Cricetulus griseus: one gene and its partner. The protein of the gene in region 2 interacts with the protein of the main gene of each other region in a biochemical or structural test. Links are inferred from orthologs where the notes say so. Each region holds a gene or a part of one and is shown on either strand. Other genes may lie near its edges. The genes, in order: Arf5 and Arfip2.

Region 1 (3,908 bases), on a different chromosome or scaffold from region 2:
CTCCCACGACAAGAGAACATGCAGGCAGGAGCAGGAGCAGAGGCCTGTCTGTGGGGAGGAGGAGTGGGAAGGAAGGGCACTGCCTGAGGAGTCCGGGAGTCTGGTCATCCCGGGATGCACGCGGGAGCTTCCGGGCAGCAGGGGCCTGCCCCTGGCTGGCTAACGCTTTGACAGCTCATGGGACAGCCAGTCCAGCCCATCATACAGGCCCGTGCCTTGGGTAGCACATGTGGCCTGGACATACCACTGTAGGAAGAAAGAGAGGTAGATCAGCATCAGGGAAGACAAGGAGTACCTTTCTACCTTGGTCTAGCCTGGGGATCCTGAGAAAGACCAGACCCAGTGCAAAGGGGACAAGATCCTTACCGTGCGGCTACGCAAGTGCTGAAGCCCCAGCTTGTCAGTCAGCTCGCTCACAGGCATGGCATTGGGCATGTCCTGCTTGTTGGCAAACACCAGCAGCACGGCATCCCGAAGCTCATCCTCCTGCAGCTGAGACGGGAGAAGACAGGGTGGAACTATGGCTGCAAAGACCCTGGGCCCCCTGCTGACTATGTTGTAGCAGGGTTCCCTACACAGAGTACTATGCAGCTTATTGCTGAATAGAAGGCAGTTATAAATGAGCGCAAAGCCCCTAAATTTTACCCCTAAATTTTACCTCCAGAAAGCCTTCAAACAAAATGCAGAACATTAAAAAACAAAGAAAAACAAGAAACATGAGAGGTTGTTTCTCTTTACCACAGATAACCCCTCTTCCTCTCCCCAACTGCTTAGACTCAGACAGAAAGGGATTTAAATGAAAAAGTCCTGCCAAACTGGGTGAGGTGCAACTCATCCAGTGCCACAAAAATCTCCTATTCCCCACCCACAGAGTACTGGACTTCCATACCACCTCAGAGAACTGTTTGTCACCAAGCTCAGTTCTCTGATCTGGACACTCACCATCTTCTGCAGTTCATCAGCAGACTCCTGGACCCGCTCTCGGTCATTACTGTCTACCACGAAGATGAGGCCCTGAGTGGGAAGGAAGAAAGGAAGCAGGAGAGATCACGCCCACCTACGCCCAGCCCCAATGTGGCTTCTTCTCATTTCTCCCATCTTTAGTGGTATGAGCCTTTCTCATCCAGTACATTTCTATTAAGGATCTGTGCCCCAAAGACAGAGGGGACAAACAAAAAGATGTTCTGTTTGAGAGCTAGAGGAGGCAGCATAGCCCAGAACCCTGCCTCCCAGAATAAGATGAGGGTGAGTTCTTAAGGAGGAGTTCTTAAGGGGAGAGGGATGAGGGCCCAGGACTCAGCCAATACTTCATTCCAGGCCCGTCCCACCCTCTCCCTGGGGTTGTCCCTCTACCCTCGGTCCCCACCCCACCTGAGTGTTCTGGAAGTAGTGCCTCCACAGAGGTCGAATCTTGTCCTGGCCTCCAACATCCCAGACTGTGAAACAGATGTTCTTATATTCCACTGTTTCCACATTGAAGCCTGCAGACAATGTTTTTGGAGAGAGAGAGAGAGAGAAAAAAAGTCCTGAAAGGAACTCACTAAAACCACTTGGATCAGCTCAGCAGTGGTGGCACACCTTTAATCCCAGCACTCAGGAGGCAGAGGCAGGTGGATTGTGAGTTCGAGGCCAGCCTGGTCTACTGAGAATTCCATGACAGCCAAGGCTACAGAGAGAGACCCTGTCTTGAAAACAAACAAACAAAAACAAGAAAACAAGAAACAAACAAACAAAAAAACCCCACTCGGATCTCTACAGGCACACAAACTCAGGGGGCAATGACCAAGGCCAATGGGAATAGAATCCAGAAGGACCGGAGGTCAACAGATATGCTAGGCTCATGGTCCACGCCTCAGGCACCAGCAGGCACGCAGAGATACCGTGACCCACTTCTCAAGTAGCTGTATCTGGTGTCAGGGTCAGGAACAGATAAGGGCCTCAGCAGCACCAGGAGCAGACCCCGAGAAGGCCCGAGGCGACATTCGTTCCCGGGCTCACCTATGGTGGGAATGGTGGTGACAATCTCCCCCAATTTCAGTTTGTACAGGATGGTAGTCTTGCCAGCCGCATCCAAGCCAACTGCAACGGAGAGGGGCACAGAATGGAGACGGGAGCGAGGGAGCCCCCTAGAGACCAGGGACAGGGAGAGGACTGGCCAGCTGATGGTGATGGGGGCGGAGAGCGGGAGAGCCTCCAGGTGCGAGCCGTTCTCCACCTTCCGGGCCTTGAGGGCAGTCTGGGTGGCGAGTGCCAACTCCTGCCGCCCAAGCGGCCGAGGGGCGAGAGGGGCAGGAGAGGTGGGGGGCCCGGGAGGAAGGCCGCGTTCCTTTGAAAAGTCGTTTCCAAGGGCGGAATCCTCCCTGCTTAGCAGCCGGGCTGGGGCGGAGGAAGCGTCACCCCACCCAGGCCCCAGCTCCGGGTTCCAGGCCCGGGGCGGACACCGCAGATCCCGGCCTGCACCCGAGCGCAGCCCCAGAGGCTCGGGCGGTGGGGTGTCTCGGGGTCAGGGTACCAGGTGAGCGGGGCTGGAGGGACGCGGGGGCGGGAGGGTTGCGGCGGGGCCGGCGCCCCATCCGGGCCGCGCGCTCGATCTGCCTCACCCATGAGGATCCGCATCTGCTTCTTCCCGAAGATCCGCGAAAAGAGCGCGGACACCGTGAGGCCCATGGTGGGGCCCGGGGCGGGGGCGCGGGCAGGGACGCGGGGTGAGGGCTGGAACCGGCCGGTCGCGGGGGGATGGGGCGCAACAGCAGAAGGAGGAGGCGCCGCCGCCGCCACCGCCTCCGCGCGTCCGGGCCCGCCCGACGTCACGTGGCCACGCCCCTCCGGGCCCGCCCCAGCCCCGCCCCCAAGCACGTTTGCGGAAGAACTGAAGTCTAGCGAGGCCTGGCTACCTTTCCCTGGCCGAGGCTGGAAAGGGCGCAGTAATCCTGGGTCTTAGGACCACTGCGGGATTTTGCTATGTTCTTCGGTCATAGACTTGAATTCCTAAGAAGGCCCTGACAGGTTCGAAAAATAGCTTTAAAAGATTCTCAGAGTAGGGGCCGCAGAGACGGCTCAGAGGTTAGGAGTACTGGCTCTTCTTCCAGAGGTCCTGAGTTCAATTCCCAGCAACCACATGGTGGCTCACAGCCATCAATAATGAAATCTGGTGGCCTCTTCTGATGTGTGTATACATAATAAATAAATCTTTTAAAAAAATTCTCAGAGTAGTTTATTCTCTTTTGTTTGGAGACACTGTGCCCACTACGTCACTAGCTTTGGGTGGCCTGGGACTTGCTGTGTAGACCCGACTAATCTCGAACTCACAGAGATGCGGCTGCCTTGGCCTCCCGAGAAGATTCTTAGAACAGAAATACTCTCTTCATCCCTGTTGTCACTACTATTTCACTAGTCTCTTTTTATGCCTGAGTCTCCTCACAGGCTTCCCGCCCCCTTGGTGCCTTCACAATGTCACAGGAGCCTTGCTTTTTAGCCCCTCCCCACTTTTATTTCTCGTGTGTGTGTGTGTGTGTGTGGGGGGGGCGTGGTGTAGAAGTCAGAAGACAACCTCCTGTGGGATGTGTTTTCTTCTTCGGCCATGTGGGTTCTCTTGATAGAACTCTGGTCAGGTCGTTGGGGCTTGGTGGAAAGTGCCTTTACTGCTGAGCCATCTTACAGGCCCCACAAGAGTCTCGACGGTGTCCTCTTGAGATTAAATCTTTTAATGTGTCGACGCCCGAGATGAAATGCCTTTAAGTTGGGTCCTACCTGTTCCAGCCTCATCAGTAGCTGCGCCTCTCTCACCCCACGCTACTGTTTAGGAATGATTCTTGTAAACTTTTCCACTTTCTTTGATACTGGTTTCCCACGTTTGAATTTGCTTGGCAGTCTTTACTCATTCTTCAAATCCCAAAAATGTTCTCCCC
Region 2 (3,908 bases):
GAGGTCAGAAATCTAAACTCCACCCCAACCCCGACAAGTAACTACTCCAACACCCCCATTCTCTTAGTCATAGCAAAAGACTATGTATTAAGATCTGGGGAAAAGGAAAAGGTACCCATGGAGAGTTTCTGGGAAGAGGCACTCGACTCTTACCTTATATGTGTTGATGCCCCATTTCTTGACGATGTCAAACTTCTCTCCGGCGATGCCCCGGGCCACCTCATCACCAGGGCCAGAAGGTGAGGTGCTGTGAGATGGATGGCGGCCAGACCCTAAAGGATCAAGTTCTCTAACACCAATTTCTCTCACATACAATCAGATACTTCTGTGACCTCACTTCCTTCCCTCCCAGCACATGAAATGACCTCTCTAAAAGAGGAAATCTAGATAACTGAATTCTTCTGCTCATTAGGGGGAACGGGGACTTAGGTCCCGAAAACCAAAGCAACTCAATGTATGTATTTGGCATTCCTGGGGTCGTGTAGGAGTGTTGTTGGGTGGACAGGGAAGGAAGAAACAGAAGCAAACATGATGAGTGGGACTGGAAGGGTCAAAGCTGGTGGGCACAGAAAACAGGGAAGCTGGTTTGTATTTCCAAGTAGAATTTTAGTCAGTATAAGACTCTTATAAAACTCTGAGAAGCTTCACAAAGTTGTAAATCAGCCTTAAGCTGCAGAGCTCTTGTGACTTATAGGTCTTAACTTGGCTCAGGTGGTGGCACCAGGGAAAGAAAAGACAATTGAGAAAGCTAGAATCTAAATGGCAAGTGGGAAGCAGATGATGAGCTCAGAGAGCTGATCTGGGATTGGACAGTCTATGGATTTCACACTAGCAGTTCTCAAGTTTCTCCAATCCATGATTCACGCTTTCCTATGTGTTCTATGTGCCTCCTAGTCTCCCTCCCACTCAAGCCTCCTGTCTCTTATCATTCATACCTGTGGGGATGAGTCCATCACCAGAGCCCCCATAGCCACCAGACACAATGCTAGTTTCATTGAGGTTGGGTCCTGACACCATCACCTGCTGGAGGTCCTATAGATCAGAGAAGAGGGGGCACTTCAGGAACATGGGGGTGGCTGAAATATTTTGGGGATAGAGACAGTATATAGTAAAGTCTGTATAGAATCATAATGACGACTTGAAAACTATAAGGAGGACTAACTAAATGAAGTCTATTGGGATGGGAAAAGCGAAACATTCAAGAGTCAGGATTGCTAAATTGAAACAATTAGAAGAATCAAACAGAAGCACCTGCTCCAGCCCATCGTCTTCAGGAAGCTGCCCAGCTTCACCATTTCCATGGATTGGGATCTCCATTGTGGCTGCCTTCCCTAGGATCCCGTCCGTCATGGCTAGGGAAGGTACTGGAGTCAAGGTCTCCACCCCAGCACGCTGTAAAGCCCAACACAGACAATTCTGGAAACTGGCCAGCACTCCAGAACAAGGAGGCCTTCCCTGTGTTCTAATAGGTTTCAGGGGTTGTCTGTTAGGACTTGGGTGTCCCTGGAGATCAGCCCCTACTTTCCTGGAGATGTGTATTTCTTCTCTTCCAAGTACATTATTTCTACAGATGCATGTATACCAAAGCCTTGGGTGTCTTCTCACAAACCCCAACCTCACCTTTAGTAACCTTTACACATTCAGTCACTCAACAAACACTTAGTGAGTGCCTACTATGCGTCAGATACTGAGGCAATGGGATTACAGCAGTGAGGGCCAGAGGGGAATGTCTGTGCTCTTTGGGAACTTGGCCCTGCATAGGCATGTTTACCAGAAGGCAAAACCCTTTCCTAGACTCGGATGCTCACTTGCCACTCAAGCATGCTCTGCAATCCCTGGTCTTTCAAATCCTTTGATGTTCCTTCCCCTCTTCCTTCAAATGGTCTCTCCTTTCTCCATCTCATGCACCTGCCTCCCTCAGGCCCTCCCCACCAGGCCTTAGTTGAAGCAGCTGGTGTGTTCCCGGTGTCAGTTAAAAGCTTCTTTCCCAGGACACAGGCAGTCCCTTCCAAAGTCAGTTTATGCCTTCCAGATGTGAGAGGTCCCCTCCACCACCCCCCCACACACCTGGGCATCAGGTGTGTCCTCATCCTTGCCAAGGGCTCAGGGCATCTTGCCCTCCGCACAGGTTCGTGCATTCAACTTCCTTTCGTACAAGTATGTCCTTCTCACCTGGGCCGGGCCACTCTTCCCCTCAGGGCGCGAGGGCCGGACCGCGCGGGGACCTCGGGTTCCAGTTCCCGTCGCGATCTTAGCAGCAGGTCAGAGATTCGGCGGAAGTGACGTGCCCTCTGGGCAGAAGAAGCCGGCCACGTCGCAGAGCAAAAGGGCGGAGGTGACGTTAGCAGACATGGGCTGGGCGATACTGGAACCACGCCTTGAAGCTCTTGGTGACTAGGGAGAATTTACTTCCGGGGTGACTCCGCGCCCCCAGGGAGGAAGTAAAGTGGGCTGCGTGCCCCGAGCGTGATGGAGCAGCAGCAGCAGCAACTAAGAAACGTGAGTAAGAGCTAAGTTGTTCTCGGGGTTAGACGTGCGGTTTGTTTTCTGGGGTACATGCAAGAACCCCCAGTGGGGAAGGCAGGCTGCACTGCGCACGCCAGGAACCCTCAGCGGTGGTGAAGCCTTGATCCGCTTTTCTCTTAGTTGCGAGATTTCCTGTTGGTCTACAATCGGATGACAGAACTGTGCTTCCAGCGCTGTGTGCCCAGCCTGCACCACCGAGCTCTGGACGCTGAGGAGGTGGGGACTGTGGGGACCCCAGAGGTTGACAACGTGACGTGTCCACCTCCCACCCCCCGTTTGCATCTCGGTCTCCCATGACCTCACCCCTAGGCTGGGGCCCCGGAGAGGAGGGCTTGACAGGACCCCTTTTGGTCTCTGCTTACCTCTGTCTTCCTTCCAGGAGGCCTGTCTACACAGCTGTGCTGGGAAGCTCATCCATTCTAACCACCGCCTCATGGCCGCTTACGTCCACCTCATGCCCGCCCTTGTCCAGCGCCGCATCGCGGACTACGAGGCTGCCTCGGCCGTGCCAGGTGTTACTGCAGAACAACCCAGAGACTCGCCATCAGGCAGCTAGCCATCGCCTGCCCCAGGAGAGAAGGTGCTTGGATGGGCTCCTCTATGAACCTTGGGCTTGTCGAAATTTGTACAGAAAGATTGAGCCTGAAAGCTGGGCACTATTGCTCCTTTTCTTGGAGCCAATAAACCGGGTTTTTACTCTGGTTGATTTTCTGGGCAGGAATTTATTTATGTCCACTTATTGGTACCAACCTTTATTCTGCCATTTAGTGCCTATCTTCTCCCCTCAGCCCTGGCAGTTGAGAAATTGCCTTCTGTAATGTAGTAGGACAAACTCAGCATTCTCAGATCCCCAGCAAAAACATAGTTTTAAGGTTAGTAATAGCAATGGGAAATTGGTTCCAAAAGGGGAGCTCTCAGTGGCTATCCTTGAGCCTAACTCAAATGCCTGAATATATATTGCATAATAACTAGTTTTCTTCTGAGCTGTAATACAAAAAGAATTGTGCTGCATCTAGGGGAAGAATGTGATATCAGACAACAAGAGGAAGAAGAAAACAGCACCACAATAGGCTTTAGCCACCAATTCTTAGGAGATCAAAGATAAGCCTGTAAGAATGTGGGAATATTGTCTAGAATTTCAATCATTTCCCCAGTTTACCATCTTAAATATTTCCTGTCTTTGTGAAATCAGCAATAAGGACTTTAAACAAAGAAGGGTTTTCTTCTTGTCTTCAAGGCAAGTCAGAAGGCCTACATTAGTCAAATCTAAAGAAGAGAAATCAAAGGGAAAGGTAGATGGTGATAGAGGGGTGGTTAAATATAATCTGTGTGGCTCCTAATGCTTCCTTAGTGTTTCACTGTTTGTCTGGAATCTCCTAATT

What was found.
Region 1: the proteins of Arfip2 (region 2) and Arf5 form a complex in vitro, tested with the Homo sapiens proteins (2 studies listed by BioGRID). The link is inferred for Cricetulus griseus from reciprocal best matches to the Homo sapiens genes ARFIP2 and ARF5.

What each region holds. Positions count from the first base shown.
Region 1 is NW_023276806.1:199,367,860-199,371,767, forward strand, and holds the start of Arf5 (ADP-ribosylation factor 5), read right to left. Parts: upstream 2,766-3,908; 5' UTR 2,668-2,765; coding exon 2,601-2,667; intron 2,080-2,600; coding exon 1,999-2,079; intron 1,482-1,998; coding exon 1,372-1,481; intron 1,015-1,371; coding exon 943-1,014; intron 493-942; coding exon 367-492; intron 247-366; coding exon 160-246; 3' UTR 1-159.
Region 2 is NC_048596.1:94,063,014-94,066,921, reverse strand, and holds the start of Arfip2 (arfaptin-2), read right to left. Parts: upstream 2,323-3,908; 5' UTR 2,173-2,322; exon of another isoform or gene 2,068-2,172; intron 1,393-2,067; 5' UTR 1,351-1,392; coding exon 1,252-1,350; intron 1,033-1,251; coding exon 936-1,032; intron 273-935; coding exon 154-272; intron 1-153. Other genes in the region: Timm10b (mitochondrial import inner membrane translocase subunit Tim10 B), read left to right, coding at 2,470-2,499, 2,647-2,742, 2,906-3,082. UniProt on the Homo sapiens protein: Plays a role in constitutive metalloproteinase (MMP) secretion from the trans Golgi network. May have important functions during vesicle biogenesis at certain cargo subdomains, which could be predominantly utilized by secreted MMPs, such as MMP7 and MMP2.